Linked DNA regions of Drosophila melanogaster. The protein of the gene in region 2 interacts with the protein of the main gene of each other region in a pairwise test. Each region holds a gene or a part of one and is shown on either strand. Other genes may lie near its edges. The genes, in order: CG6689, CG4730, CG17855 and tap.

Region 1 (8,440 bases), about 14 Mb from region 2:
AGCACCTGGAGTTGCTTGCTTTCGAGGTTAAGGCATGCTTTTGTTTTTTGCCCGCATTTTCACATTTTCCCACTTGAGCTGGGTGTTGTTTTCATGGCCCAGCCCTGGGGCGGCACTTCACTCATATTTTGCCTCCATTTGCGGGCCACTTTCACAGTGAAAAACTATTATTTTCGCAGAATTTAGTAGCAGCGAACTCACCATCGTGAAAAGTCAATGCAGAAAGATGGAGGGCGGAAACGGCCAGAGTTACCATCCATCGCACGGGTTGCTCGCCTGCCTATCGATAGTTGGTGGTGGAGTGTATAAAAATACCAAACACTATTCATAACGGATTTCGTAGATATTGAATATGAATAATCTGCATTTCTTGGGAAAATTAGACTTCTCACATTTGTGAACATGGAATTAAACAATTGTTTTGACTATCGAAACATTTTTGGATAAAGGTGCCCGTTGCGCATTCAAAGTGTATTTTGTCATTCTGAGCAACGGTCACACTCCTACGCATGTCAAACAAATAAATTTAAATAATTGGCAAATCAATTGCATAAAATGAAGGAGTTCTGCCGCACCTGCGGCAAGACCGTCGTGGCCGATGAATGCCTTCAGATCTTCACGCCTGCGGGCCGAAAGTTGCTGCAGTGCGTCCGTTCCATCACAAATTGCTGGGTAAGTGAACAATTCCACTCAGTAGTTTCCGTATCCAACCAGCGATTGTTTCCCATCTTACAGCTGCAGAATGTCCAGGATTTGCCCAATCACATATGTACGGACTGCCAGGTGCTGCTCAGCCAGGTGCAAAAGTTCCGGCGGCGTTGTGCCAAGATCGAGAAGTACTTCGCCAGGCGGCGGAGGAGAATGAATCTCGGCGAGGCTCCAGCGGCCATGGAGCAACTTCGCGTCCAGCAGGCAGCTGCTCCGGATCCGCTGGGCATTGACGAGCTGATGTCGGCCAGTGACATCAAAATAGAACCCATCCAGTTGCAAATGGAAGAGGACCCACAAGCGCCGTATCCCGAAAATCAGCTTGAACAAGCTCTTAGCTATGGCAATGCACCGGGTGAGGACATCCTACCCCTTCCCGAGGACTATGGAGAGGCACAGACTGAAGTGGCGACCACTACCAACGAGCCAGCACAGCGAAGAAGCAAGAACACGGCCAAAATAAAGTCCAAGAAGCACACAATGCGCGTGGGCCGAAAGCTGATCCATGTAAAAGTCATCGATGATAAGCAGCCAAAGCGTATTGTGGACCGCAATGGACCCAGCGCCAAGCCCTGCATCTGCGAGCACTGCGGCCGGCAATTCAAAGACACCAGCAATCTCCATGTCCATCTGCTGCGGCACACGGGCACCAAGCCGTTCGAGTGCGACCAGTGCCACCAGAAGTGCTACACGCTCCACCTGCTGCGGCGCCACCAGCTGAAGCACACGGAGGGTCCCTACGCCTGCACCTTCTGCGGCCTGGAGTACAGCACGAACAGCTCGCGCGTGAGACATGAAAGGTGCGTCCTACGCAGCAGTTAAAGCTACGAATTATAAATGATTATAATCATTTTACAGGGAGGCCTGCAAGAAGGGACGAGCGCCGCAATCCAAGTGGGAGATCATCAAGAAGGGCGAGCGCACTTTCCAGTGAGTTGCTCTTAGTAATTTCGCATTATTCTATCTAATTTCCCCGTACTTCTCAGCTGCGAGGTGTGCGATCTCTGGTTCCTGCGCGCCGGCAACTTTACTCAGCACATCAACTCTTCCAGTCACATCGAAAACGAACGAAGAAAGAAAAGAAAATCAAATCCAACCGCCATTAATTCATAAATCCAACTAAGTGAAAATTGAAAAAGAAGCACGCATTTCATTCGGTTGCAACAATTTGTACTACGCCCAATTTGCGAGCATTATCCTGATGCATTTTACTGTTCGCATGGCTTTTCATGTTGTACTTGTAGCGAAAGTTAACATTGCAAACCTCGCACCTGTAATGATTAACAAGCACAATTATATTAATTAGGAAACTAATGATCTAAAAGCTCGAGAACACCCACCAATATGGACGTTCGCCGGTGTGAATGAGCTCGTGCTCCCGCAGCCGCGTCCGCTGATAGAATCCCTTCAAGCAGACGTCGCACTGGAGCGGCCTCTTCTCGTGCGTCATCTCGTGGCGCTTGAGCTTGTTGGGATCCGAGTAGCTCTTGCTGCACCGCTGGCACTTGTAGGCGTTCGCATCGGTGTGCGATTTGATATGCCAGCCCAGGGCGTACTTGGAGGCGTAGTGCTTTTGGCACAGCTTGCACTGATATCGCACACTTTCTCGAGGCTTGGGCATGGGCTTGGGATTGATGCGCTTCACAATGAGACGAGGCGCCGCATTGTGGACCTCGCTGAAATGGATGGCCATAAGTACAAAAGAAAGTTGATGCATGCATGTTAGTTGTGTACATTTACCACTCACCTCTCGTGCTTTTGGCGAGCTCCGGGATAGGCGAATGTTTCGCTGCAGAAGCCGCAGGCGAAGGGAGTTTCTCCCCGATGACGGATGCGTATGTGCATGTTGCGCATGTAGGCGTCGTAGAATGTCTTTGGACATTCGGTGCACTGGTAGTTCTTGGTGCGAGTGTGCCGCAGCATGTGGATGCGCAAATTGTGTGACATGCGGAACGCCTGGCCGCACTGATCGCACACAAAGTTCGGCGGCTTGGCGCGTAGCTGGGCGCGCCGTATAAGATTCCTCTCTTCTTTGGTCTTTGGGTTGGCACTGCGCTTCGGTTTCTGTTCACCAGCTGCCTTTTCCTTAGCTTTGGGCTTACTCGCGATTGGTGCTCCCTTCCTGAGTCTTGCTTTTTCCTTCCCTGTATATTGATCTAATAGCTCCTTAAAGATCTTGGCCCCCAGAGCCACACTGAGTGGATCCTGGGCGGCGGGCGATTCAGCGACTTCGTCGACTGCCTCTTGACTTGTTTGGTCATCTGATGTCGCTTCATCTTCAACATGATCTCCACCTGCATCTTCAATCTCTTCCACATTAGTGTTCTCCGTATCAGATATCAAATCGTGATCCGATGATATTGGATTCTCATTCTCAGCCTCGATCTGCACTTCATCAGTTGAGGGCTTGGCTTGGCTGAGCTTGAGCTCGGTGCTGATGCACATCTCCCGGAAATCGATGGCCTGATCCAGGGCCGATTTACACGCAGGGCACATGAGGCGCGGCTCGTCTGGTTTGTGACTGATCTAAAAGATTTTTGACGCAATACATGTTATTTTGCTCTATAAAATGTACGAATAACCAACCCAGACACCACTTATGACTTCGATGTGAAAGAGCAGGACACTGTTGGCCGGGTCAAAGAGATCCTTGGCCCTGAAGTCAGCGGTGAAGTCATTGTAGCATGTGCGGCACTTTTGCAGCTCTTCCAACTTTTCCTCGCCCGAAAGTGGATCCAATTCCATGGTTACAGTTTCCGATAAATACACACTATCCTGCTCAAATGAAGTAGCCTCCGGGTGGATTAGCTTGGCCTCCTCCTCCGCCAATAGCTCAGCCACTAGCTCCTGGTTTCTGCGGCGCTGTGACCTCTCCTTACGGGCTCTATCCGATCCACTTTCCTGGCTTTTGTTCACGCAGGGAACTGCACCTGGTCGCAAAGTGCGCTTTTTTGCCAATCCTGAGCGAAAGACAAGGACTCAGTTGGACATTTTTAGCGGCTCACACATGGAACTCACCCATTTCGAATTTCAGGGATCCCTCGATGTCCTCATCCTTGAAATGTTCGATGCAAATGCAGGGATTCTTCAATTTCAAGGACTCCTCCGTGTAGCCGCAGAATGCTAGCCAAGCCTTAAACGTATCCGGGCACTTGGGGAAGCGGAAGAAGCCCAAGCGTTGCTGCTGAGCCGCATTCCTTTTGGAGCGGCAGTCAGAGAAATTTCGGCAATTGGGCACGGCACATCGCATATTTTTAGAATAAAGTGCGCAATGTTTATATTAAATAATCCGGCAGTGTGACCAAATGTTGCGCTGCCACGATGCCAACAATTCGAGGTGGTTACATCGATGACGTCACAAAATGCAACAGTTATTTGAAATTGCAAAATTCAGAAAACTACGTTTATTTGATGTTCTTACAAAAACTCTGCTTTATTTAACCCACAAACACACACACACACACTGTATTTCATTAGTAATTGAAAAAAATGTAATTTTTTTATATCAGAATAGCAGCATTTCGCAGTGATAACGTTGTATTCTTTTATTTGATTTGATTTTCTTGCGAACCAAGGAAAACTTTTGGGTAATAATGGTAGCGCATTTCTATGTCCACTTAGTATTAATCTAGCGAAAAATACAAGTATACGTACATGGATAAATACATATGAGTAACTAAGCCTAAACTACACGATAAATATATATTAAGGAGCGCACGATGAGCAGTGGAGGACGGCACTAGTTTTTGCCCTTCTCCACACGGCCCGCCTTGACTCCATTGAGCTTCGGTTTGGTCTCCTGCTTGGCGGCGGGCTTCTTGGACTTCTTTTTCTTCTTCTCGAAGGCGCTGAAGTCAACAGTGTCGGAGTCGTCCTCGTTGCCGTACTTCTCCATCAGGCGGTCCATTAGGGAGCCAAAGTTTGACTCGCGCTGATTGCGACGTGCCAGGATCATTTGCTGCAAATCGCCACCGTTGTCGGCTAAATCCTGGTCGTCCTTCTCCTTCTGGCGGCGCTTCAAACGCTCCTTGATCACCTTGGCCTCCTTGAATTCGCGCGCGTACTTCTGGTGGCGCTTCTTGCGCTTGGCTGCCGGCTCCTCGGTAAAGATCTTGTACTCGGGCACCTCGCCGCTGGCAATCATATCCTGAACGATCTTCTGAATGCGCGGCTCGTCCTCCACCTTCATGAAGGGCACATGGTTCATCAGATAGTTGATGCAACCCTTGCCGCCCAGATACGCCTTTTTCAGATCGGTGCGCTCCAGCTCCGATTCCACATACTCCTTTTCATAGTTGTTGATATCCTCCTCGGTGATGGGCTTGAAGATTTTGCTCCACAACTCCAGCCACGACGACAGCTTGGACTCGCTCTCATCGTCGTCGTCGATCACGCCCTGCTCGTCGTACAGCGCCCGCTTCTGCGTGTCGGTAAGCACCTGGTAGAGCTTCGATAGCACCTTGAACTTCTCGGTGGACTCCGCCTTCTGCTCCTCCGGCACTCGATCGGGATGAACGAGCAGCGAGAGCTTGTGGTATGCCTTCTTCACCTCCTTCTCGCCGGCGCCCCGGGCCAGCTCCATTAGCTTGTACACATCGCGCGTCCCAAAATACTTTTCGCACAGCTCCAGCGTCGACATTGCTAATTTCGTATTTTGTATTTTTATTTTTCGCACCAACACTACCAAACGCAAAATGCGCCAAAACGCCGCGCCAGTGTGGCGGTGCGTGGGGCAGACAAAAATTCCTTTGTTTAATGGTGCGAAAAAATCTTTGATTTTCCTGTTTACAGCAATTTGGTTATTATTTAACAAGTAAAATGGTATTCTATGAATTTTGTTTTAACTATTGATAATTTTTGAGAGCCTGCGTGATAAGTAACAAAAATAAATTGGAGAATTGAACATTTCAGTGCTGCACAACATTGCATGGTTGGTGTCCCAACTAAAAAGTAACCCGTGTTAAGAACGTATGAGGGTGGCATCCCTCAAAATCCATGGCGAGCAGTGTTACCGTACTGCGAAAAGTGACCTTAAACCCATCTCAAAAAATATACCAAACGTGTATTTCTCAGCAAAGTTACCACTGGGCACACTACACACTATATAACGAGACGGAAGTCGGAATCGTTTCTTTTCCGTTTTACACGTCTGAAGAGAACAGACATGGTGAGCATCTCGATCGGATAAAATAAATTATATTACTATGTGATGTGTCAAAAAGATGGATGATTGCAAGTTAAATAATTGATTAGTTTGGAAACAGTAGCGTTATAATCACTCTAAATGTAACTAATACAAACAAAGCGTAATTTTAATGCATAATTTGCACTTGCAACATCCACGTGTTCACCTAACCTCAAAGTGCAGAAACGCATTGTGCTAATGGATTTTCTCCATTCATTTTGCAGTCTCATCGTAAGTTCTCGGCACCCCGCCATGGCTCCATGGCCTTCTACCCCAAGAAGCGCTCAGCTCGCCATCGCGGTAAGGTTAAGGCCTTCCCCAAGGATGACGCCAGCAAGCCAGTCCATCTGACCTGCTTCATCGGCTACAAGGCCGGCATGACCCACATTGTGCGCGAGGCCGATCGTCCTGGCTCCAGTAAGTACCAGCATCCACCTCTATCAACTAACAACTACTTTCCATGATGAGTATACTAGAAGATTTATGGTTAGAACACATATGATTAACCGTGATTATCTCAACTAGGGCGGACTGACCAAGCCCACTCTGTAGATGATTTCTCTTAGGGAATACCATTACTCGGTATTAATGGCTTTTCTTTCTCTTGCAGAGATCAACAAGAAGGAGGTGGTCGAGGCCGTCACCGTTCTGGAGACCCCGCCCATGATTGTGGTCGGTGCTGTCGGCTACATCGAGACTCCCTTCGGTCTGCGTGCCCTGGTCAACGTTTGGGCCCAGCATCTCTCCGAGGAGTGCCGTCGTCGCTTCTACAAGAACTGGTATGTATCCGAGGACCACGTGGTCGTTCTTCCTACTCCATTTGTCGCCATTTTCTTTGCACCGGGTGTACACACACACAAAATGGCAGCCGACACGTGCTTTCTACTCGAGTCTGGATGATGAAACGATGGTATCTGAATGAGCAAATTATTGTTGAGAAGCCTTTTACCATCTGCTGCCTTCCTTCTGATCGGCCTCTTAGAAAATAAGCGATTGATTTTGCTGCAATACAATATCTATTGTTTTTTGAAGTATAAATCAACCAGTGCGCTGTTTTGTGTGTGTGCGAACTTCCGATCAACAGTGATTCCCTCGTGTAATATAGACCCCTATTAAATGTAAAACAAAATCATAAAGTTCTTCGATCAGCTTGCTGAGAGAGCTTTTCAAATCGCTAAACGTTGTGTGAGCTGTCAGGTTAATCTTGATCATGGGGCGCACAAGCAAGCCCCTGGTTAATTGAAATTGCCTGACGAGTGAGCATGACAAGGAAGACTGCATCTCCGCTCGCCATTCGTTTGCGATGAGGCGCACTTCCTGTTCTATCTCGCCCCACATAAACAGCGCGGCTAAGAAGTTGGAGTTGTTGCGACACCCCAATGGATTGCTACATTACGCTCGTTTCTGACCACTGCGTCTCCAACTTGACCATCGTCCATATCAGGTACAAGAGCAAGAAGAAGGCATTCACCAAGGCCAGCAAGAAGTGGACCGATGATCTCGGCAAGAAGAGCATCGAGAATGACTTCCGCAAGATGCTGCGCTACTGCAAGGTGATCCGTGTGATTGCCCACTCGCAGGTAAATATCAATTTCAATTATGTATTCCATATTTCCCGACGTCCTTGGCCTTGTTGCGCCACTGGTGCTGGGTCCTCGGGCTCGGTGCCTTTGGTGCGCCTGGCCTAAAAAGCATTCGCGCTGTGGTTTTCAATGCACGGTTTAGGGATGCAACGTCGCAGAGCAATCTGCCCCTCGGGTGGCGGGACTTGATATATTCCAGTAACGGTGCGGAGCCGTTCAGGCGATGATAGCGCGGTTAAACCATATCACGTACAGTCCCAATTTCCAATACCACAAGGTGGATGAAACTAACCTGTTGTGTACTTTTTCTCTATTTGCCTGTAGATCCGCTTGATCAAGCAGCGCCAAAAGAAGGCCCATGTCATGGAGATCCAGCTGAACGGCGGCTCCATCGAGGACAAGGTCAAGTGGGCTCGCGAGCATTTGGAGAAGCCCATCCAGGTCAGCAACGTCTTCGGCCAGGACGAGATGATCGACTGCGTTGGTGTGACCAAGGGTAAGGGTTTCAAGGGTGTCACCTCGCGTTGGCACACCAAGAAGCTGCCCCGCAAGACGCACAAGGGTCTGCGCAAGGTGGCCTGTATTGGTGCCTGGCATCCGTCGCGTGTGTCCACCACCGTGGCCCGTGCCGGTCAGAAGGGTTACCACCACCGTACCGAGATCAACAAGAAGATCTACCGCATCGGCGCTGGCATCCACACCAAGGACGGCAAGGTAAGCACCAGTACCCATTATTCCCACCATTCCACTTTAATCGGGCTGTAGAAGAAATCTGTTTTTGTGATGATAAAACCTTAAAAATAATATCGACATCGAAACAAAAAAAACTTGATGAACCATGATATTTATAATGATAGGACTGATAACAGATCTTCAGCTACATAAGATTAAATCCTGAATCCCCCTGCCGCAAGACCACAGTAATCTGATCCAGAATGTATCGCTTTGCTTTTGCAGGTCATCA
Region 2 (7,990 bases):
CTGCCCCTCAATAATTAATTAGAAATTTACATAATAAAAATCATTTGGCCGCCGGGTAGGATCCATTTTTCGACGGCTCAATTTGGGGCCAAGTTAAATATTTAGTTTAAGCTTTTGCCCGCGCTGCAACTTTATAGCCAGCCACCAATTACCAACTTGGTGGGCTCCTTGGTGGGAGTGGGTGGTCGTGGGTGGTGGGCATGGCCATTGTCTTTGGGCGACAAACCATAAAAACAAACTGTTAACAGTTGGCGCTCGGGCATTGATTGACCAGACAAGTGCAAGCAATGGAGCTCAGCGTCAGTATCCACTGTCTCACACACATCCACAAAAGCATCTTCATCAGATTCAGTTCCTCAGATCTCGCATCAGCTGCTGCGATTCCCATGGACGTGACACGGTGGAGCGGTGGAGAAAACATCATCATAATAATAATAAAGCCGAATAACTTTCTCCACACGTAGTGTGTGTCAATAAATCGGTTGTTTCTCGCAGAGTTTGAAAGGAAACTTTTAGAGTTCTTAAACAAAGAATGTGGTTTTGGAACCACTGTGCCGCATCCTGTCTGCCATGAATGATGCGTCCTTTCCTGCCAGCACATAAAGCCCCGGCCAGTTGCATCTATTCCACACACTGATAGACAATGTTTGTGCACTGATTTATACTCAGCCAGCTATTAAATAAGAATTTTCGTTATTACGCTGCCGGGGATTTTATTATGTGACTTTCAAAAGCCCCCGCCAACTTGTTGTGGCTTTGGCTTAAAGCCGCGCCAAGCTGAAAATTGTTATTTTAACCTTTTAAAGTCAGCTTTATCAGCACCAAATGCAGGGCCATTATGCGTGGCCCACGCGGCGTATGAGCAACGTTAAATCTGCGAATAATTCAAAGACGTGCGTTTCTTTTTACAGCCGCCTTGTCGGTAATCCCATTAAGGAGTTATCTGGCGAAACATTTTTGCACAACACTCGACTGGAGGCACTGTGAGTATACTTTGTTTGTTTTAATTTAAAAAATCACAAAATATATCATGAAGTTGTTAAAACGGGATTGAATTTGATTTGAATATATGATTTCATTTAATTTCTCACCAATATTTAAGTTCGTTGGCCCTAATGCCGATTCACATCAGCAGCAGTTTAATGGAGCCACTGAATATATCGTTTTTGAATCTCACGGGAATTCGGTATGATCACATCGACTTCGAGGCCATCAATTCAATGCGCAACCTGACGTACATCATCTACGATCGATTCTTCTACTGCTCAATGACGCCGCGGGTGAGAATGTGCAAGCCGTCCACCGATGGAGTCAGCTCCTTTCAAGATCTTCTGAGCAAACCAGTGTTACGTTACTCCGCCTGGGTGATGGCCACGTTGACAATAGCTGGAAATGTGCTAGTCCTATGGGGACGCTTTATCTACCGCGATGAGAATGTGGCTGTGACAATGGTGATTCGGAATCTGGCTCTGGCTGATATGCTGATGGGCTTCTATTTGGTCACCATTGGAGTGCAGGACTATCGCTACCGCAACGAGTATTACAAGTAAGTCAAATGTGATGGATTGGCATTTGTTACGCCCCAATCTTTTAGGGTTGTGCTGGACTGGATAACCTCGTGGCAGTGCACACTGATTGGAACGCTGGCCGTGAGCTCCTCGGAGGTTTCGATGCTTATCCTGGCTTTTATGTCGCTGGAGCGGTTTCTCTTGATCGCCGATCCCTTTCGCGGCCATCGCAGCATTGGAAATCGGGTGATGTGGCTGGCTTTGATTTGCATTTGGATTACGGGCGTGGGCTTGGCTGTGGCACCGGTGCTCCTGTGGCGGACCAGTACCCTACCCTACTACGGATCCTATTCCGGAACCTGTGAGCACAATGTTTATGATAAAATGTAGTTTACCAAGTGACGAAATTAAACTTAACAGGCTTTCCATTGCACATCCACGAGGCCTTCCCGATGGGCTGGCTTTACTCGGCTTTCGTGTTCCTGGGCGTCAATCTGCTGCTGCTGGTGATGATTGCGATGCTCTACACGGCACTCCTTATTTCGATATGGCGAACGAGGAGCGCCACTCCGCTCACTCTGTTGGATTGCGAATTCGCTGTGCGATTCTTTTTCATCGTGCTGACCGACTTCCTGTGCTGGGTGCCCATCATCGTTATGAAGATCTGGGTTTTTTTCAACTACAATATCTCCGATGACATCTACGCCTGGTTGGTGGTCTTTGTGCTGCCACTTAACTCGGCGGTTAATCCTCTCTTGTACACCTTCACCACGCCCAAGTACCGAAATCAAATCTTCCTTCGCGGCTGGAAGAAGATAACTTCTAGAAAGCGAGCGGAGGCTGGCAATGGAAATGTGGCCACCACAACGACGGGCACGGCAACTGGATCCTCTCAGCATCCGGATGACTTCACGATCTTTGCCAAAGCCGCGATGAGATGCCATTAGGTCCTAACGCTGTCGAACTGAAGGATTCTTGTGGCGCAGATCGAACTTGTATACCACCAGATTTAGCAGCATTTATTTTGTCTATGATATCGAAAATCTATATATGTATGTGAATATCTATCCCTGTCCGTGTAAGATAACCAAATGAAAGTGTGAAATAAATTGAATGTGATATTTGTAAGGCAATTTTACGGAATTTAAAATGGGATGCGAGTTAGTGTAAGATTAAGCTATTATCTAAGTTTTGGTAATAGTTTTAAATACTTTTTATTTAGAAATAGCAGCGCTATCATTTTTGGCATGGTGTGATTCTTTCTGGTCCGAGTAAATCTTTGCCATTACCAACTTGGAGCGCACGATGTGAAACTTTCGCATTTCCTCCAGGTCCTCCATCTGCACCACCATGTTATGCTTACGCTCCAGGTGCATGCGTAGTCTAAAAAATTATTAAGGAGTGTTACTTTCAAATAATGTACACTTTAAACAAAATAACTAACTTGTTACGAGCTGGATAGCTCTGATGGCAGTGGGCGCACTCAAATGGCATGGCCGTATGCGTGCACTCGTGATTCCTGAGAGATGAAGATGAGGTAAAGGACTTCTGGCAGCCGGGAAACTCGCAAATGAAGCGAGATCCAGAGTGCTTAACCTGCTGGTGGACAGTCAAATGGGATCGCTGTGCGAAACGACGATCACAGAGATCACAGGAATAGGGAAAGTCTCTGTTATGATAGCGTTTATGAATCTCCAGGGCTTTGGCAATGGCAAAAACCTTGCCGCATGTGTCGCAGTGGACTCCAGACTGCCTGTGCTTCGAATCGACGTGAACTTTCAGCGCCTGCTTTGTGAGGTAAACCCGGTCGCACTGGCTGCAACGAAAGTTGGGACGATTGGCCAAATGAATCATCTGGTGCTTGGCCATGCGGGAATGGTTCCTGAACTCCTTGTGGCAGAACTTGCAGTTGGATTTTCCCGTATGCCGATTGCGTGGCACAATGTCCTCTAAGCTGTCGATAGGGGTTTCCTGCTTCTCCTCAATCTCTTCCATCAGGAACTCTTCATTCATATCCGCCTCATTCTCCTCATCCTCCACGTCGTCTTCCTGTTCCGTGTTGGCTTCGGTTGCCACAAATATCTCCCTCAACTGCTGATTGGCAATGGCCATTTTCTTGTGGAAGTCGTAGGCCCATTTCAGTTCCACCGCACAACGTTTGCACAAGGTTCGTGGCTCGTTTTTGGGATTTTGCCGCAGGTCTTCCTTGGTGCAGATCTCGTAGCAGTCGTAGTAACTCAGCGCCGCCTCCTGGTCATAGATGACGGTCATGTCCAGCATTTGGTTGGGATACGGCTCCTCCAAACACAAGCGGCAGCAATTGCTCAGCTCCAAAGAAGTAGTACTGTCTGAAAGTGAGACTTCATGGGATACAAGCTTCACGGGAGCTTCTGCAGTTCGCCTTGCTATTGTAAAATTAAGCGTTTGGCATACTTTTGATGTTTGGGGATCCATCTGTGCAAAGCTTATTTTGATCAAATTGAAAAGATTACTCAGATTACCTAATAAATACTTCTTTGTTTACAGTTGAAAATCCCCGCTCTTAGCCATAAATGTGAAGAAAAACTAAACATAGCTGTGCTAGGGTTGCCACCTATTTCACGAGAGGTCTGGCAGCACTTGGGAGCGCTGAAATTTTTGAGAACTTTTTGCTTCGTAGTTGTTGTGATTTCTTTGTACATCCCCTGAAAACGATGAAGTTACTTGAGCCTCAGACGACCATTAGTCCTGAACCGGACATACTGCATCCGGACGACGGTCAATACATATGGCTGCCAATTTCCGTGCTCGTTGGCATTTTCGTTCTGGCTGCACTGGTGCGTTATCGCCACAGTCTGTTTGTTTAAGTGGATGTACATTTGTTTAATTTATGCATTTGGGTGTACACAGGTCTACGCCATGTCACGTAGTCGCTGTCGGAATTCCTGGGATTGCCTAAAGAGCAGGAAGGCTCCGCGAAGTGGATACATCAATGTGGATGAGGAGGATTCCGATGTGCCCATGGACTGCGGAGATGAACTGGGAGATCAAAGGACTACTGCTACTCTCCTCACTGGTCGCCTCCACATTCAGGATGTCAGTGAGCTCGTGACAATGTCCCAATACAATCACAGCCCTTTTTCTTCCACAGGGAGCGAATAACGCCTCCAATGCCTAGTGAATCTCAAAAGTCTTCCATACACTTTATTGTCCACGTTGTCTTCAAACGGTGGTTGTCATCGGTTTAGTTACTACTGCAAACTACGTGCCTCTACTACAAGTACAACGAAAATAACCCTAATTTTAATGATCCGTACTGGTGGCGCCAAGGATTCGCGTCGTCAGGTCGTAGAAGCCAAAGAAGAATGCACCGCCCAGTGTGATCCACAGCACACGCGGCACAAAGCCAGCAAACAGACTGAAAAGTAACATCGAAGTACATTAATAAATGTAATAAATAGTTTTGTAAAGTTAATTTGTGTTTAAATATTAGGACCAGCTTGAGTTGCGTCTAATATGGAAATAATTACCCGCTGAAGCCTCGCTCCAGGTAAATGCCATGCAAAATTCTTCGGGCACTGCGACGTCGGTTGAGACTCTCCCTTTCAGCCAGCATAATTCGGGTTTTGACCACATCGAGCGGCGTAGTTAATCCCGCTGAAATGCCTCCAGCGACAGCTCCACAAAGAGCCACCGAAAAAGGAGTGGAATCGAAGCCGGTCAGGGGAGTCCATTGCAGCTTAAAGTACTCCCAGAGCGGAAACTGTATCAGACTAAATGGAATCTCCCGCATGATAGTGGAACCAAATCCCCTGTACAGACCACGTTTCAATCCCTCAGTGCGATAGGCACGCAGTAGAATTTGCAGGCCGGACTGTTTGTTGCCCTGCAATGTTTGGGAGCGTTGCTTGGCAATCTCCACGGGAACTCGGATCAAGCATGCCAACTATTGGATACAGAGATTCTTCAGATCTAAATACGAGGTGCTCAGTTTTATATGAAATCCTACCACTTCTGCTGCTGAAGCCGCTGCCATGTGAACATAGGGTGAATCTTTGGTTTGGGTGACCGAACTAAGGAACTGCTTTCCGCACTCGTAGGTGCAGAAAAACAGGGCCGCCGTGGGAGCACTTCCTGCAGCCGCAGGAGCGAGTCCTTTGTAGATGCCCCTGAATCCTCCTGCCCGCCAAAAGCCCAGCTCGCTTTGCAGTCGGGTCTTCACTGTATCTATGGGAAACAGCGCTATGTCCACTACCATTCCAGCCACTCCTCCTGCCTAAAACTAATTATTTAAGAACTAACTTTTCATTTAATTTTCATCTACTTACAACAAGTGCATGGAAAAATTTTAATTTATTGACCGGCTCTTGCATTTTGATTGCCACGGACCCCGCGGCCGATTCCAGACCCAATTCCGCTGCCATGTCCTAGAAATGATGTTGGGGCATCCACTTTAAGTCATCCCGTCGGAGTATTAACTAAAGTTGTTTTAGTAAACAAAAACATAAAATGTGGTTGTTAACGTAACAGTCAGCTGCTTTTTGCTGATCTGGCAGGTCTGCAGATAACAGCTGCTTGGTGTAGAGTTGCCAAGATGCTGAAACCATAACAAATAAATATATTCTATGTAAGATATATATTATTTGGTCAAAAGTGTTACTTAAAAAAAGGATGGTATTGAAATGTTAGCTTTTTCACAAAAACACATAATTATAATACATTTTTTTTACACCAAAGTAATTATTTTAAAACCAATACCATTTACTTGACAACCCTGAAAAGCCGTGGTTCTGGGCAAGAGCCAGCAGCACCGTTTTGGCCAAGTGGAATAAAATTGGCTGTGATTTAACTGATAGTAGAATACCAACTGCAGCGGTAGAAAACAATAATCCAAGGATCAAATCATGGCCCTTCGCTTGACCCAGAGATTGCTGCAGACGCAGACGCCGTTCCTCACTCGCGTAAGTTTTCTCGGCCGGAAAATTGGCCCACAAAGGCAAATTACATAATGCGCGCCTGCCAGATCCTATTGATCGTACTTATCGATTCGAATTGTAGGGCTATCCCTTGCTGGTGACCAAGGAGAAGACCGAGGATGTGGCCCACACCAAATCGGCGCTGCAGAAGAAAGTCACGGTGAGTGCAACCTCTGGAGCTCACCCCCAATTGAGGTTATAGCATCCGTATATATCTTCGTGAACAGGGCACCGATATTCCCTCGGCACAGTACGGAGGTCGTCATGCCGTCACCATGCTGCCGGGCGGCGGCATTGGTCCTGAACTGATGGGCTATGTGCGCGAGATCTTCCGGTATTGCGGTGCACCCATCGATTTCGAGGTGATCGACATCGATCCCTCCACCGAGGGCAACGATGATCTGGACTATGCCATCACATCGATTAAGAGGAACGGAGTGGCACTCAAGGGCAACATCGAGACCAAGTCCCAATCCTTGACCGAAGTCTCCCGCAACGTGGCCATCCGTAACGAGCTGGATCTGTACGTCAATGTGGTGCACTGCAAGTCGTATCCGGGCATTCCGGCCCGCCATCACGACATTGACGTGGTGCTCATCCGCCAAAACACCGATGGCGAGTACGCCATGTTGGAACATGAGTCTGTGCCCGGAATTGTGGAGAGCATGAAAGTGGTGACCGTCGAGAATGCCGAGCGTGTGGCCCGCTACGCCTTTGAGTTCGCCCGCCAAAACAATCGCAAGAAGGTTACCACCATTCACAAGGCCAACATCATGAAGCTGTCCGATGGTCTCTTCCTGGAGGTTGCCAACCGTGTGCACAAGGACTATCCCGAACTGGAGCACAACAACATGATTATCGACAACACCTGCATGCAGTCCGTGTCGAATCCTCACCAGTTCGACGTGATGAACATGACCAATCTGTACGGCACCATCGTGTCCAATGTTCTTTGCGGTTTGATGGGCGGAGCTGGCCTCATATCCGGCAGGAACTACGGTGACCATGTAAGTCTCTTTCTCTTTTGCTTAACCCATAGTCTTTCAGTTTTGTCATATAATTTTAGTACGCCATCTTTGAGCCTGGCACCCGTAACACCGGAACCGCCATTGCCGGCAAGAATATCGCCAACCCTGTGGCCATGATCAGTGCCAGTATCGATATGTTGAACCATCTGGGCCACAAGGAGCACGCCAATGTCATTCAGGAGGCCGTCTACCAGACCATTGTCAACGATGCCATTCGCACGCCAGGTGATCACGTCTCTCGTAGTTATTCAATAAACAGAATCACCTTTATCATCTAAATCTCTTACAGATATTGGCGGCACCAACTCCAGTACCGATGTGGTTGAGAATATACTCAAGATCTTGAGTGCCAAGCGCGTGAATTGGTAAAATAATCGTCTGCATTTAGAGTAGTTCTATATGTTCTTTTATTTCGCTGTCACAACCAAGTGTTGTATTTTCTATTAAGTTTTAAGCAAACAAACATCTATCGCTTGTCCCCTTTTACTTCACTGTCGCG
Region 3 (8,092 bases), on a different chromosome or scaffold from region 2:
AAAGTACTTTATTTTTTTTACTTTTATACTTTTAGTATTTATTCATTGTCCGAATCACCAGAGATCACTTAAAATCAAAGCCATTTGCACATTTGGATGAGGTGACTTATTTATGATTAATTTAGATTTGCTACACGACTTTGGAAGGGTAAGCCGGGGTAAACCTGAATATCAGGGAAGAAACTTTGATCATCCCGCACATCAGTTTCCATGGTTTCCTTGTGGTCACGTCTTTTTTCGATGGAGCTGCGCTTCCTTAGTTTCTCCCAGCGATTTTGTTTTAGTTGTGTCTTCGGTTTAACTGGCACTTGAATTTGAGATGGTTTTTTAGATTGACCCGGATCGGAAGTCTCGCGAACCGTTTCCGTGCGACTTGCCATTTCCACATCAATGGTGTCAGCTTTACTACGACCACTGGTAAGTCGCCTCAGCATCTCCTGATAATGCGGTTGATCCGCAGTTATGTATTCCGGTTCGTCTTCGGGATTGAGAATCTGGTAGTTGGGGGTGCCCAGTTCGAAGGTGGTGAATTCACCATGCTCCACTTTGTTCTTCAGATGCTGCGGCGTATACCCATACTGCTTAAGTGGAGCCATCCACTTGGCATCCGCATCCGCAACTGTATCCTTTGAGCTTCCCCCCAGGCAGAAGCCAAGGGTCAATAGCAATGTGACCAGTAGTTGTCGTGTCTCCGGGCAGCCGACCATTTTCGCACTGATGCTCCATGGATGCATTGGTCAGAGCGTTAGCCAAATCCAATAGAATCGCCATCGACGACGTCGACTGCGCCGGTAATTGGACGCCCCCAAAGTGGCAGCAGCTACGTGAGATTAGAGGCATCTATGGGCCATGTCGCGTCTGGCGGCGATAGCATTAGTTTATGCTTATCACAGTATCGAAGCCACCTGTATCGTGACGCATCATTTTATGAGACATCAATTCGCAAATATAATGATACGAATTCACTGAAGAAGCCAAACACACAAGCGAGTTGAACTAAGTCAAGCATTTCATTCACCACTTTTTTTTTTTGGTTTTAATAATCTTTCACTTTTTTGTGTCACACTTGTGAACTGTCATAATGTGGTTTTTCTTCACTTGGCTTATATTTTTCTTAACTGATCTTCACACTTATATAAGTATGTTTGCAACACAACCACTACTCAACTACTCATTTTTTTTTTTATATCAATAAAATACCCTCACCCAGCTTTTAAGTATATTCCCTATATTAAAAAATCCAAGTTTTTGTGTTCCTCTGCGAACAGATTGAATGGGATGCATCTTTATTGTAGGTTAATGTAAGCTGTCTGTATGTACACTCAATTGTCTTAATTGTAACTAAATTATGATGTATGGCAGTGAGTTTTCCCGGGTCAAGACGGGTTTCCTAATGGGTTTATGCAGCTGAAGTCAGTCATTAGATCCTTTTAGTACTTGTACTGTGCTGTTGGTCCGGATACAGAGACATAGTTCCCGGCGGACAGCTCCTGCTTGATAATGGCCTTGGGGGCGGCGTAGTGGACGAGTGGCGCCACCGGTAGCACGGGAGTCAGGATCTTGGCGGCCAGGAGCTTCTTGGGTGGCTCAGGCAACGGTATCTTGATGTCCGTGGGCTCACGCTGGACAATTGCCTCGAAACCGTTGTGATCATCCGCCTTGTACTGCACTATGCGGCGATAGCCATCGGAATCGATCAGCTCGTAGACACCCTCGACCTTGTCGTCCTTGCGGGACTCCTTTTGGCTCTTGATGTCGCCGGTGTGGGGATCGTTCACCGACCACTGGAACTCGTAGGCCACTGGTCCGTAGTCCGGCTCCGCCTGCAATTCAATGGCCCAAACGGCGCTGGCCAGGCACAGGCACAACAAATAGGTAACCTAAAAGGAAGACACCACTCTATGCATTAGAATCCTTTGTATCGCACCCTTTTTCCTCCACTCCACTCACTTTTCCCATCATTTTGTGGTATTTTGGTCCTTTCAGAACTCTTTGGGTATTGAAATGCACTCGACAAAGATCGAAATCGAAGTAATTAATCTGGGTAGTCCTAGGCTGCTTATATACAAGCTGGCCAACTGATTACCAGGCCAGAGCTACGCTTCGATCCAACTTGGATGTGGCAATCCACCCAAGGCGTCGTGTCGCTTTGCGGCACGCGCCTCCCAAACAAGATCGCCGACCAAGTGGAGCGCGCTCATTAAGTGAGCCCCGAAAAATTATAATTAAACAAGAAATATGCAAAATGTGGTTCGCACCAGCCTGAGCCATGCACTGCAAAAAATTAGGAACCAAGTTAGGCTTCATGTCGAACGAAATAGTAACCATTCCATTCTCCTAATTCTTCTTTTCTAATGAAAACGACGTAAAACTCACTTAATATTTTTAAGAAATTTCTAAATCCACCGAATCCAAAATAAAGAAATTTAAAAAATATTTTTATTAAAACTTAAATTTATAAAATCTTGTAGTTTTTTTACCCATGACGCATTTGATTTTTCTTTTGCGACGCACATTCGATAAGCATCCAAATGAATATGCCGCAAGTGGGAGAGCTTGATGGTGATCTTAGAGGTGTCGCGCTAGTTTGTCTGGTCCAACCAACAAATGTGGAGATTAATTTACTTTGTCAATAATTTGCAACATTAGGCATTGGGCAACAAGGCCTCCGACTGCATTAAGTCATAAAAATAATTGTCATGTTTTAATGGATAGCGCACCACGTCGAATTGGAAATGGGATGGGAGGGCAGAAGTCGGGGGCTGGAACCTTCACAGCTCGGAGGCCAGATCCTTTTGGCAGGTGATCTGTCCGCAACTCGTTTGATGGCATTAGCAAATAATTTAATTAATCGCCATTAGACGAGGGGTTTCTCTGCGCGCAGTCCAAGAAACCGGGTTACTATATCGCAAAAGTTTTGATTTAACGCAGCCGCCGAGCGTGTTTGTCGAACCTTAAAAGCAAATTCTGGTATGTGCACTGGTTAGGCGTAGTTGGTTCGGAATCTGGGTTAGTCCAGCCGTCTAGTTATTGCTCTCTGTGCGTAAACTTAGTGATCAGTTTCATCAGCTTTAGTATGGCTACTTGTTATTATGATCTATTGGTTGGTTGTTTAGTTTTTGGCTGGGAGCTATGTGATAAGATTAATCCCGCCACTTATCCTAATCAACAGGCTCGCTTTCTTTCTCCAACTTGGCGCGAATTGTTCTTTGACAGCGGGATCTCAACAATTCCCGTCTTAGGGCATTGCTCTCTGTTTCCACAGTTTGTATGAGCTGAATACAAGGAACAATCAGACATATATAATTAATGAGAATTAGGATTAAAGCTTACGCTATGGGTTAAAGCAGCTCTTTCCATAGTTTCTGCGTCGGCATCATCATCCTTGGGGTCAGATTCACTGCTAGAGGAGCAGCGCCGGGCCTGCATAGCTTTATGATGCTGTCCGGGATAGTCTTCCTCATATTTGGGCGGTGGGTCGTCATCGTTGGGTAGCGAGGCCGGCAGACTGGTCGCTCCTTCTTCTGATTTTGCCTTAAAAGCGGCTAATTCGTCCCGCAAGGATTGGTTTTGCATTTCCAGTAATTCCACCTTTAAACGAATCATTTTTACTTAAGCTTGCTAATACGTTCTAAAGCGTCTTACGCTCTCAAGTTCAAAATCCATTTCGTCAATAATGTCGTATGACTCATCAAGGGCTCTTTGAAGTTTTTCTACTTTGGCCTTCAGCTCGTTCAATTCGTTGACATCGCTTTGGGCCGACTGCCTTTTCTCCATAGCCATTCGTTGCTCTAGTAGATTTTTAGAGTATTGATCTAATTTTAAGCAAAAATTCCATTTCCTAACACACCTGCATTTCTTTGATCTAAAGAGGACTTCATTACCAAGCCTGTAAGCGTCTTCTGCCGTTTAAACATCTCCTCCAAAGCACGACAACGTTTCACTTTCTCCAGATAAGCGTCATGCAGTTTGTTGTACTTCTTCTTGTGCTTCTGCAGTGTTTCCACCAGACGATCTCGTTCCTCCTCCAATTGGAAGACCATGATCTTGGCCTCCACATTTATGGCCGCATTGGTGCTGTGGCTGGCAGATGCGCGATTTAGTCGATGGCGCAGCAAAATGTTTTCCTCCTCCAGCTCCGCACTTCTGGACTTTGCTGCAAAGGAGTTTCAATACATGGCGTATACGCAACGACATTGCTCATACGCACCGGCAGCCAGTTCTGCATAGAGAACCTGCATGGTAGATGTAGCACGTTTCTCCATTTGTTCGATTTGTATTACTTCAATTCGTAGTGGTAAAAATTACTCAGCTACTGAAAAATCTTTTGTTGCTGAAAACAGTAAAGATAAGCTATCAGCGAGTTGAATTGCGTGGATATCGCTGGCAGAGTTACTTTGTTAAGTTATTCGATTGCTTACGAACATATAGAATCGATCAAATTTTAAGTCTTAACAATTTAATTAACACTATTATTTTTTTTACCTATGTGGAACCCAAATTGATGGAAAAAGTTTTTTGTATTAATCATCAGAAATGCTAATCAAAAGATAGGCTCGTTAAAAATTAATTATTTCTTGCTCGTCTTGTTGCTTAAATAACAATGTTAATTTAAATATTATATGGTGAACCAAATTTATAAAAAAATTTTTAATAAAAATGTTATCTATATTTAAAGTACGTTAGGTTTGTGTCTTGGATATAAGATACTTGCAAACATCATGGTCACACCATTTATGTAGTTCCCTAATTCGAGTACCATCTTGTAGGGGCGCCACTGTGCCAAAATTTCAAATAACTAAAAAATTCGTTAAAAATAATGTCTTTTAAGAAAAAACAAATTGACTTGTTTAATGCAGTTTTGGTTTATTTTGTTTTTCATTTTAGGAGTCTCATTGTTTTCATTTCATACATGTCCTTATTAGTTTATTTGCAATATTTCTCTAAGTAAAAATATGTATTCCTTAAAACACACTTTTTGAGTAAACATATATATGATATATATATATATGATCTTTTGCACCTAAGACTCACTTTCTGTAGTCCGTTTTAAAATCGCTCTTCAATAATGTATAAGTTATGTTGTACAAACACATATCCCGATACGAATTATTAGCTACGCGTAGGTACTTATTAACGTACAATTGTATACATATATTTCTTATATGGATGTATCTATTTAGTGCTCGAGGAGCTCCTCTCTGCCTCCTTTCCTACTGTATGTGGCTGGTTGGTGTAAACATAGAAATAGTTGCTACTAATTAACCTAGATTGCATCACTTAGGACTACTGGGGGTCTTGCACTCGGGCAGTGCGTAGGAAAACAACCGGATGGATCGATTGAATTCCCATTTCAGTTGAGATACTGATATTATCCGCGTGTATATTTAATTGATATTTTTAAGGCATTATCGCATTTAAAGTACATCATTCGGTTTTAAAATCTAGGCTAGACACTTGATTTTCTCGCTACCATTAAAACAGGGAATTTAGGATTTTTCATAAAACTATTCCAGACCTATTCTTCATTCGAACCCATCGCTATTTTGTCCACAAAGATTCTCTAAATGATGTATTTGCATAAGAATTACATTCAGCGTATTTTCACTTTCTTTCTAATTCAACGTTTTCGTTAATTTTTGTTTTCTATACTCACAAATTGTTTCACAGCACAATTTCCATTGACAATGGTTAAATGTTCGGATTATTAAAACATTGTAATTCGCTATTCGTTTCTCTTTTCTTTCGCCAACTGATTCTCAGTCAATCGTTAAACTTCGAAACCGAGATTGCATAAAGTCGAAATAAAGCGAAACGTATGCAGCAGACTTCAAACACTTAATCGACTTTTTACGGATCTAATCTACACTCCACTAAAATACAATACAAAATATTCCTATCACAACGATCTACTCCTACCTTAAAATATGCTAGTTGCTTTCTAGGATTTCTATTCTATCGCCTGGTTACATAAATATTATCTGCAAGGATTCGTAATCGTATCTGACTCGGATTCGAATTCTGGTTGAATGTTGTATATATCAAAAGATTTCTATTTTCAGATGCCTTCTATTAGTAGATTTGAACACTCGGTCGTAAGTACAATGAGCAGCTGAGGGACGAGTCACTTCATCAGGAAACGGGCATGAACCACATACACTCAAAGTACGATGAGGCGATTGCCGCCGGGAATGGAGACATTGCTGATGTTGCCACAAATCGAAAATCCTAGCTTATAGCTACATGGCCTAGCACTAAGCACACGCGGAACGCTCCTCCTCTTCATCATCGTTATCGTTGATGAGCTCGTTACGATCGTCATCGATCTGGATCTTGTGGTGCGACGTGTTTCGCGTGTGCTGAGGATGAGCGTGCCCTGACACCGAACTGGAGGCAGCAGACTCCGGCAGCACTTGATAATTTAAATCCTTGGAATTGGTTCGCCGATGTCTCAGCACACTTAGGCCCGTGGTACTGGCATCCGTTACTACCTGACCCGAAGCAGGAGTTGCACTAGAAATTTTGGTGTTCAAGTCCTTCGAGTTGTTGCGGGAATGTCCACGTGATCCAGCTCCACCAGCTTCTATTTCATTTGAATTCTTTAGCTTGCCCACATCCGAAACCACATTCTTTAAAACATTCACATTCTTTTTGGGATTGTGATGTGAATGGGGGTGTCGTAGGAAGTCCGCATCGAAGCGTATGTTATTGGGCATGTAGATTTGGTCGTAGCTGTGGTTACGAGAGTGCTTTTTAACGAAGTGTCCGCATCCGGTGGTCAGCTCTTCGTCATCATCCTCTTCGGGGCAGTCCTGCGGCCGAAGTTGGTTCTGAATATATCGGATGGGTTGACTGGGGTCGTGTAGGTCTGTCGAGTGATTGCGCGTGTGCGCCTGGAACTTTTTGAGATTCTTGTATTTTGTGCTGGCACCAACAGCATCCTGACCAGCCGCATCCGCAGGTCCGCTAGATGAGCTGTGATCTCGAGCAAAGCTCTTGATCATCTTCACGTCACAAGAGGCACTACGGAAGTGTTTCTTAGACTTGGTCTGTGGCTGGTTGCAGGTGTTTGCCGGTGTTACCACACGACCGCATTTGTCGTAGCTGCAGGAAAGACATTTGGTTAAGACCATAGTCCTTGAGTATAAATGTGAGATAGGACTTACCAATAATCCATATGCATGGTGCGTGAATCATTGCGGGAATGACGAAGTATATCTGTGGGTATGATCAGCTCTCCTCCACCACCAACAAATGCAGTAGACGGCTCGGCACCCGACAGCTTTTCTTCAAATACTGAAAAGGATAGATATATATATAATTATATAGATATAGATAATTAGTAATTTCGATAATAAACATACATTTGTCTAGGCTAATGATGGATCCGATTATTGGATCGCTGGCGTTAAGCGGCTTCATTTTCTCAAGCTGCTTTCGCCTTCGCACCAGCCACCAATCCACCATAAAGATAACCAAGGCAATCAGCTTTACAGATGCACACAGCCCAACATATCTAAAAAAAATTGAAATAGATGTTAATAAAACTTATATATTCATATATTTTATGATATATTCATACTTGTATCGGAACTTTTCAATGTCGTAGATGAGACAGCGACCGCCCTTCTCGCCGCAGGACGACTTCCAGAGAATGCAAGTAGAATCGATTAGATTTCCGAACAATATGGGAGCCGGTATGTATCCAAATAGTCGAAATATTACAAACTGCATGCCAAGGGCAAAGGAACGTTCCTCTTCGGATACCGATCTCAACACGATCATAAGCAGCGGCATCTGCGTAGAGGCCACCAAAAAGGTCATGAAGAATAGCAGTATGAGGAACGGGTAGATAGTGCGGCAAGGCGTGGCACATGGACCGGCAGTAGCTACCGGAACCACCGTCACCTCGGCAAAGTTCTCGTTAGCACTGAGAGCCTGGGCTTGGCTGCCACCAGCGCCACGATAAATGCTGCTCGAGATGTTAGCGCGAACACCTATAACATACAAATTATATAAATATAACAGGTATACTTTATATAAGTCACATTAAACTTACAGGCGCAATTGGTGTAGTTGGTGTTGGATGTGG
Region 4 (8,363 bases), on a different chromosome or scaffold from region 2:
AATGGGCAAAAAGGTCGAGCAACTTGCCGCTAAAAAGCGAACGTGTAGCTATTGCACCAGAGCGAATCTCTGCCATCAATGTTTGATCAGGACCAAAAAGGGGTAATAAACAATGGATCCGGGGCTGCAATAACCACGTGCACCGGCAAAGGGTTAAAAAAATGTGTGCCAACGTCTTGCTAAAAAGGCGTAAAACAATCAATTCGGCAAATAAAATTCGATTTGCGAAATGGGAATCGCAAAAGGGCAAGTACAAATTGGAGCTGTGTCGTCAGGAACGGTGTGATATATGATCTTAATATTTCATGCTTTCCATTCCAAGGGTTGAACTCTGACTCTCATCAAGTCTTTGAGAGTAACCAAAAATAAGGTTTTAGAACACCAAAAGGAACGACAATGCACATAAAAATTTCACATTACCTTAATTCATGTACTCAAATAAAATAAATTTTTAAACAAATGGCTTGATAATTTATCCATCTTTTACAAAAAAAGAAGAGTCCTCAGTTAAACCTACTTTTCTTCATGCTTGAGTTAATCTAAAATACAAGTTGATGGAAAATAATAATAAATCTATACTATAAATTGATAAAATAAACTTCAAAGAAAGCAGCCTTATTTCCGTGTTCGGTTTGATAGGGAAGAGTATGAAATGGCCCCTTGTGTTTTCTCCGTGTGGACTAATCCCTGTATATTTACACAGAAATTTGATTTGGTTAGGTATCTGCAAGTCGAACCCTCCGCCATTAGTCGACCCAGCCGAAGTCCTTTGTGCAATCTCATCGGACCGCATATGAATCGCTCTCCAAGGACCTGCACTTGCCGCAGCCGAAGATGCCAATCCATTGTGTTTGCGCCTTTTAGCATGTCCATGGCAATTTGTTTCCATTTTGGTTGCCTTATCGCCTTATGGCCATCGCCAAATTGTTTTTCCAGCCTCGCAGTGCATTAGCATTCGGGCAAGGGAGTCAGGGCATAGATGTCGTCATTGATCCGCCGATAGCCATCGAAACGCAGCCACCCCGTCCGCTAATGATGCGAGTCCCATCCGGGCCAGGTTTCATCCTCATCCTCAACCCTCGAGGAGAGGCGAGTGGGTCCCAGAAATTGAATGCAGCTTAGCTGGCTCACCCGCTGCGTATTTGCGCCTTTGCAGCACAACAGGACCAAAGAACCCAGGACCCATGCCGGTCTATAATAATGATTATTGCAAAGATAAATCCCGACACCTCCAACAAAGCTGCTCAAATGACAAACGCCGGCTTAGTTGTGGAAAAACTGACGAATTCCCGCTTATAACCCCAATAACTAACCATGAGCGAATCTTTTACCGACAGCAAATATATCTAGTTAACTTAAACATAGTTGAATGCTCAGGATGGCTAGACCTAAAATTATTTCTAAGATATTTGAATGATGAATATAAATTCTAATGGAGTATGCATACGAATAATATGTAATTTTAAATCTTTTTGTTAAAAGTGGTGGTTAGTAGTTGATATTTGAAATTAAATCATACAAGTTGCTGATAAAGATATCCTGCTTTCCCAATATTCAATTTACGTTGCATTAGGCAAACCTACGCCTTTTTTTAAAACTTTAAAACCTTTGAATGTAAGGCTTTGCAGTATGACAGCTCTATTAACGGATAAGACTGTCTTATTGTAATCTTCAGTTGAGATTGCGAATTCCTCACCGGCTTTCCAGCATCTTTACCACCTTTTTACCCTTTTCTCGTAACGGAAAACGTCAGTCAGTCAGTTGTTACCCAGTTAGGCAGTAAAGCAGTAAAGCATTTCCCTCGACTCTTGCCGGTTCGGTTCATTCAACTAAATAATTTGAGTGGCATTCATGCAGGTCCACTGGCTCACAGCTCATGTTTCAGGATTCCCTGTTTGGTCCTGACTGCTGCTGTTGGTACATTCGTTTTGTAATTGTGTGGCAGGTGACGGCAATCTTCCATTGTTCGAGCTATGAAGGCCGAGCCGGGAGTTCGAGTTCGGTTTCTACTTGAACTCACCCCATGTCGAATTGTAAGGGCGAAAAGTGCCCCCTACGATAAGAACAAGCTGCAGTGCACACACACAAAGCCATTCGTTTTATGTGCCCTGCAATATACAATATTTATTTGAATTTAAGTCCTTTGTTTGGGACCTGAAATCCGCACACAGCGGTACACTGATTCCAGGGTTGTTTGCTTTGGCTACTATTTTTGACTTTGTCCAGGAGTTCGTCCATTCTTCCCACTCGCAAAACCATTTTCTGGCTCGTTTTGATCGTCAACTTTATTTGCAAAAATAAATCTTTATGGTTTTACATCGAAATTCAATCTTATCACCTTAAAGTTCTGGCCCTGACTAGCTCGCTTTCCTTGCATTGCAATAACTGATATAGAATCTGGCATAACCTACATACACTTAATCGATTGTACAGTTAATTATGGCTAATACCTGGTTCATTTTAAGAATCCTTATAGATAGGTCTTAAATCTAGAATGGCAAGGTACGTATCGCTTACACTAAATGGACAACCGATTTGTACTATATAGTCAAGAAGAATGCGAATATGTTGAGAAGAAGAGTGCTTTTTGGAAAATTGATTACCCTAAGCACTTTTAATTCAAATATTCACCAGAGATCCGCAAGAAGGAAGCCAATGAATACAAATATAATGGGAATTCATATGAATTAATAATGAGTTCGTGAAGCTTAACTTTGGATGTTTGACTTTAAATTGGTTAATCTATTGAGGATCCCTCTATAACATGAAACTAATTGAGTTCAAAGATTAGCGCAAGTGTGAAATATACAATTTTTAAAGATATTTCATTTTCAAACTTGATGATAATCTTAGCAGTCAATTAGGTGCCTCGCTTATTACCAATATCAACGGATTGCAGGAAAGTTGAGAAAAGTAAGGAAGGGAAATCCCGAGATAGGACCCATAAGTTACTTTAGTTATGTTTTTAAAGTAAGTCAAGGGCAAATCGCTTAGAGGAATTCCCCTTGATCAGTTTCCTGCAATTTCCGGCAATCTTTTAGTATATCACGCTGAAAACCCTAAGATCGTAGTTTGGCCCACAAAACTGTGCTACACCTGCGGGGCGAAGTTTTTGTAGCTGTGTTGATGTGGAACGGGATGCACGTGTGCCTGATCCTCCGGATAGTCCTTCCATGGCGGTGTTTGCGAGTAGAAGCTGCTCTGCTGGTGAATCCCAGAATCCAAGTTCGTAGAATGAAGATTGGCAGCTGCATCGAAGGATCCCCTGAACAGATCGTATTTCTCCTGCGAGAACTGCTGCGGGCTGGACTCCTGCTGGGGATTAGGCTGCAGATGGTGAGGCTGATGCGGCTGCTGTTGCTGTTGGTGGTAAAACCGCATGCTGCCTGTAAAGTCGAATCCTGGTGGCTGCTGCGGATAGTCCATGCCGTGCTGAAAGCCACCCATCGCCGGCGGCTGCTCCGCGTGCGATGCTGGAGCAGTCTGGTGCTGTGCAAGAGGCGCCATTCCCTGTCCATAGGGGAACATTCGTCCGAACAAGGGATACGGCTGTGGATTCACGAAAAGAGCATCGAAGAGCTCCTTGGTAATCCTCTCACCACTCAGCGTGAAGTTCTGCAGCTTCTCCAGATCCAGGTTGATTGAACCTCCGCTTTCCAGCACCTGCTCCAGGGCAAAGATGTAGTTGTGCGCAAATCGCAGAATCTCGATCTTCGTCAGCTTCGTCTCCTCGGGAAGCGAGGGCAGAGTGACGCGTAGTTTCTCCAGGGCATCATTCAAGTTATGCATCCGATTCCGCTCCCGGTCATTGGCCTTCATGCGGCGGAAACGCTTGATCTTCACCACTTGGGTTGGACTGCGCGAGCGAGTTACTCTGTTCTTGCCGACGGCATATTTGCGTTTCGGTCGCGGCGCATTGGGATCCTCTGGCGACTTCACCGGCGTACTGGTCAATGGCGGATCGAAGACGCCATTCGTGGCCCGACTGTTCAGATGTTCGACCAGTGTCCTGCCGCTCCGAGTGCTGTGATTGCTGCTCGTATCGAGCAATCCCACGAAGCCCGCCGGCGGTGAGCTGAGCGGTACGGCGTCCCAGGTGCCGCCGGAGTACGGTTGCGGGATCGCCGGAGTCGGCGGAGTGCCAAAGTCCAAGCGGCGTCGTGAGCTCAACTGGGCCTCCGTCTCGAAACTCTTCTCGTAGCCACTGTCGAAGGAGGCGTCGTCGTCGTCCTCGTCGAACTCGAAGGACTGTGATCCAGCGCTATAGGCATTGTAGCAGGCGGCCATGATCTCGTATCTGTATCACGGTGTGTATATCCTTTAGCACATTTCCGATTTACGATTTCCGCTTTGAGAGAGTTGTTTCTTCGCGTCTCGCGTGCCCGCACCAACTAAAAGCTGGCGAGGAGTGCGCACCGGTTTTATGTGCCCGGCCAGCCATTAAGCCCGCTGATTTGGGTCCGGACTAACAGGCATCAACCCTCGGCGCATTGTCGTCGGTCGTGGCGGCGCCATAGCGCAAAGTAGAGAGCACAGAACCCCGACACAAATCCCAACAGATATGCGCCGTGATTGCCGCCCGGGGGTGGCTTTTGCCAACTCACACACCAACGTCGTCTAGCTAGAACTGCCTGCAGCGGGGTGAACTTCCTGGAGATGGAGATTCGTTCTGCGGGCCGCCGCTACCAGTCAAAATACGAGCATTTTTCACGCTTCGCTGCGAGCGGTGCTCTCTAGGCCAATCGGAAGGATGTCTGCGTCCGAGGATCAGCGGTGTCGCCAACGGCATCATCAAAGCTCGTCTCTATAGTCATACCCTTCCTCTAGGGTTATTTAAATACAATGTGCTTACTGCACAGCTTAAACTTAATTATATTTATATTAATGAATGAGTAGTATTGTTGGTCAATTTAAGATATGCTTTATATTATAGTTAAATTAAAAGAAGAAATATTATATTATTATATATTTTGTAAAAATCACTTAGTTTAAGGATAAATCCAAAAATTATTTGAAATAGGGAATACTTTTGTTTAATATGATATCTTCGGATCATTACGACTTTGTTATATTTTCGGTGTAGGTATAATTTTCGGACGAGATTTAATCCATTTCCGTACTAAAAGATTTCTTACCCTTTCCTACATATATAGAGTATGTGTGCTTCGTGGACTAAATAAATTGTTATTTTGTTTTATCGCCACATCGAAATAATGCGATTGCAATTCAAAAGATTCAATTACCATCAACTCTTTCGCCTTTCGCAACTAAACCGCAATAATCGTTTAGGGCTTACGCCTGTCGCTAAACGGGTTAGTGGCACGTGGCCAGGATGCCGCCTCCACTTACCAAAAGCAACATGTGTATTCAACGGAAAGCTCTCACTCCCACAGGACTCCATCCTCCTGGTAGAAAACCCAGGCGTTGCCACGTGCCGCGGTCTTAACGGCTGCTCAAGTGGCAAAGTGTGCCGATGTGGGATTCCTATCTGTGGCAATCCTGTTAAAGGAGGATCGGAGTTGCAATTTCAAGTGGGCGACGGGTGCCACGTGCGGATTTGTTATGATATGCGGCAATTGCCGCAAATTACCAGCACGAGTGAGAACTTGAGTGTCGAGGGGGCTAATTTAGTAATATGCCACATTTCAGGCAGTTCCTCCTAATGGAAATGAATTGAGTGCTTTTGTTGAAAAAATATAAACCTTGCTTCAGTAATTGTGACACCATCAATTTTTTCTTTAATAGTGCTTTATAAGGTAGCTAAGTATGTTATGAAAAATGTACTAAGTAGAGCTGATGTTTGATTAATTTCCTTATAGATTTCAAAACCAAGATAGTTTTATATAAATAAACAAATACTTAATGGTATACTTATTTATTTATTTTTTAATCAGTTTTCTTGTATGATCAGTACAATGAGTGTTTTCGTAACTTATAAAATATATTTATATATATATAAATATATTTATATATATAAATATATATAAATATATTTATATTGAAGTTTTAAACAGAATATTAATGGTAGTTTGTATCAATATCTTTATAAGAGCTAAGTACTACTAACAATGTTTCTTACATGAGAAGAAAATCTATCCCATATATGCCACTTAAATTCACACCAGCAGCCACGTGTCGCCGTCGTCGTCATCCATGTTACAAAGCTTCTCCGCCGCGTGTAGCTAATTTGGTTTTTTAGAGCCACAATGCACATCAATTAGGCAGTTAATTGAAGTGCGGATGCGTTTGCTTTTTCCATTGAGTGTTGTCCTGGACTCGATGAGAGTCCTTTTTTAAAGGCCCTCGGGCGGCGTTACAGTCCAAATAAAAACCGAAATACAATGCCGGAGCCGGAAACTTGGTCAAACAGATGTACACGTAAATAATTTCATCAAAATCCTGGCGTTTTGGTAGCCAAAGCAAATACCAAGTGTGCCCCAGGCTAATTGCATTCTAACAACCGAGACGAATTCGATTTTCCCAGCTATACACTTCATCTTCCTTGCTCCCTTCCTCTGCTGCGCAACCAACGAACATCCCTTCGCCAGCATTCGTTTCGGGCACGTAGAACATCGCCTCTGGCTCGGTAGCAGGCTCGACTTGTCAACAGCGTGTTAGAATGGAATGATGGCCTCCTCGTAAAGCGGATCCATATCCATTGCATGTGTAAAGTTATTCATGGGGGGGTTTGCGGCTGGAATTGGTGAGTTGGACGAAAGAGAGTCCGAGGACAACTCGATCACATCCGGCTGAAAGGAAGGCGATCGTCGCACATTTGGTTCTGTTATACACTTGGGCCCACTGCGTCCACGGTCACGTCCACGTCTTCTAATCGCAGAAACAGACCGAGTCACTTCCTCGAGATCTGTCGAGGAATCGGATGTAATGTGCTTGAAGACCGGCTTGGCTATCATGCGCGGCGATGGCGTGGACGATTCCGAAGGTGCTGGCGAGTCCGATGTGATGTGCACAAACTTCTTGAAGCGGCGCCTATCATATTGGCGGTAGTTGTAGCTGTTTGAAGATCCATTGCTGTCCTCGGTGTGGGAGCGGCTCTGACCGTTAAGACTCGCTGTGAGCCTTCTTTGGCTGCGACGTGTCTGGTCGTTATAGAAATTTGCCATATTAGTTCGCTTAACACGAACTCTTACTCCCCTGAGTTTTTCTATGTCTCGTGGTGTCAATCTGGTTAAGCACACCTGGGAAGAACGCGTCAGGCATTCGTTGATTTGACGATTTGTCTCCATTTCCTTAATATCGTTTGCAGATCTGGAATTGGATTCGTTGTTCACTGAGTCAAATTGTAAGCACTTGTTCTTAGGGTTCTCATCACTGCCATCCCACAGAAGGGTCTCCTCCGCGGTGTCGGTTTCTGTCCCGGTTTCTGATGGCGTTGACATTTCATTAGGCAGCTGAGCATTCCCTAAGCGCTGCATGTGGATAAGCTTATCTTTTTGTTTTCTTGTATTCGGTAGATCCCGTTGCGGTTGTCCAGTTTGTTTTGGCTTTTCGGCCGCCTGTCTCGCTTCCAGTCCCTCTACTTTGAACAGTCCATTTGGGATGACCTGTTTTAGGTCACTAGTTTTTAAGGCATCTCCCAGTGGCTCCTGGGTCTGTTGTCCAGTTCTCACGGGCTCCTTGGTCAAAAACAGAAACTCCGGAGTCTTCTGTGGCACTTTTGTAGTTTCTAGGCTCCCATGGATCAAATGCGTCTTGGTCTCACCAGTGGGCTGCAACACTTCTGGGTCCATGGTTAAATCAGACTTTGTGGTCGGCGAAGGTGTTAGCTCTTTACTTACACCGGTAGAACCTTCGCTGACCTCCTCCTCGTTGAAGTCGTGGGTAGCCATCGTGGAAGTTTCTGAGTTTACGCTTTCAGTTTCCGATCCCGTGCGAACGATATTTTGAACAAGCTGGGAACATGGCTGCACGGCGGCTTTTGCAGCTTTGGCCATTTTGAGGGCCTTCAAGATTTTGAATTTGTTTAATATCGAGCTGCACTCTATCATGCTGCTGCTGTCTTCTACCACATTCTGCAGCTCTTCCTTCTTGAAACTCCATATGTCGGCGATCGGCTTAAAACCGACGGTTTCGTTGGTAAATTTGGGTCGTGACTCCATCAGTTCGCTAATCGTACGCTTTTCGACACGCGCAGATGTTTCTTGTAGACACAGTTGTTTTGGAGGCTGGACTGCGATTTTTGGCTGCTCCTCGACGACGGGCTGCGTATGAAATTGGTGATGTGATGTCTCTGGAGAGCTCGATCGTCGCCCACCGCGCACACTTCGATCCATGTCAGACAACATGGCATTGGCTACCATGGCTGCCGCCCTAACCCGAGTCCGGCGGCCATTTCCTGTGTA

Evidence for each region.
Region 1: the proteins of CG4730 (region 2) and CG6689 interact in a two-hybrid assay, tested with the Drosophila melanogaster proteins (one large-scale study listed by BioGRID).
Region 3: the proteins of CG4730 (region 2) and CG17855 interact in a two-hybrid assay, tested with the Drosophila melanogaster proteins (one large-scale study listed by BioGRID).
Region 4: the proteins of CG4730 (region 2) and tap interact in a two-hybrid assay, tested with the Drosophila melanogaster proteins (one large-scale study listed by BioGRID).

The regions. Positions count from the first base shown.
Region 1 is NT_033777.3:11,216,058-11,224,497, forward strand, and holds CG6689 (uncharacterized protein), read right to left. Parts: upstream 4,008-8,440; 5' UTR 3,959-4,007; coding exon 3,727-3,958; intron 3,669-3,726; coding exon 3,295-3,668; intron 3,235-3,294; coding exon 2,456-3,234; intron 2,385-2,455; coding exon 2,049-2,384; intron 1,980-2,048; coding exon 1,859-1,979; 3' UTR 1,841-1,858; downstream 1-1,840. Other genes in the region: RpS25 (ribosomal protein S25), read right to left, coding at 202-204; CG4820 (uncharacterized protein), read left to right, coding at 556-672, 736-1,508, 1,567-1,638, 1,695-1,821; CG6693 (uncharacterized protein), read right to left, coding at 4,448-5,347; RpL3 (ribosomal protein L3), read left to right, coding at 5,873-5,875, 6,118-6,310, 6,504-6,672, 7,338-7,473, 7,801-8,190, 8,434-8,440.
Region 2 is NT_033777.3:25,674,576-25,682,565, forward strand, and holds CG4730 (uncharacterized protein), read right to left. Parts: upstream 4,108-7,990; 5' UTR 4,021-4,107; exon of another isoform or gene 4,010-4,020; intron 3,973-4,009; exon of another isoform or gene 3,963-3,972; coding exon 2,953-3,962; intron 2,892-2,952; coding exon 2,723-2,891; 3' UTR 2,497-2,722; downstream 1-2,496. Other genes in the region: Lgr3 (Leucine-rich repeat-containing G protein-coupled receptor 3), read left to right, coding at 912-983, 1,103-1,546, 1,595-1,869, 1,929-2,455; CG5039 (uncharacterized protein), read left to right, coding at 4,202-4,324, 4,398-4,583, 4,639-4,665; CG4743 (uncharacterized protein), read right to left, coding at 4,791-4,905, 5,018-5,433, 5,497-5,763, 5,816-5,911; Idh3g (isocitrate dehydrogenase (NAD(+)) 3 non-catalytic subunit gamma), read left to right, coding at 6,392-6,448, 6,546-6,623, 6,691-7,470, 7,530-7,716, 7,781-7,856.
Region 3 is NT_033779.5:9,536,817-9,544,908, reverse strand, and holds CG17855 (uncharacterized protein), read right to left. Parts: upstream 4,387-8,092; 5' UTR 4,266-4,386; coding exon 4,211-4,265; intron 4,157-4,210; coding exon 3,851-4,156; intron 3,792-3,850; coding exon 3,646-3,791; intron 3,592-3,645; coding exon 3,334-3,591; intron 3,276-3,333; coding exon 3,162-3,275; 3' UTR 2,429-3,161; downstream 1-2,428. Other genes in the region: CG13113 (uncharacterized protein), read right to left, coding at 117-734; Cpr30B (cuticular protein 30B), read right to left, coding at 1,431-1,880, 1,951-1,962; Oatp30B (organic anion transporting polypeptide 30B), read right to left, coding at 6,255-7,104, 7,167-7,296, 7,365-7,516, 7,583-7,997, 8,060-8,092.
Region 4 is NT_037436.4:17,355,717-17,364,079, reverse strand, and holds tap (target of poxn), read right to left. Parts: upstream 4,399-8,363; 5' UTR 4,288-4,398; coding exon 3,091-4,287; 3' UTR 2,269-3,090; downstream 1-2,268. Other genes in the region: CG7692 (uncharacterized protein), read right to left, coding at 6,615-8,363. UniProt on the Drosophila melanogaster protein: May play a role in the specification of the sugar-sensitive adult gustatory neuron and affect the response to sugar and salt. Regulated by POXN.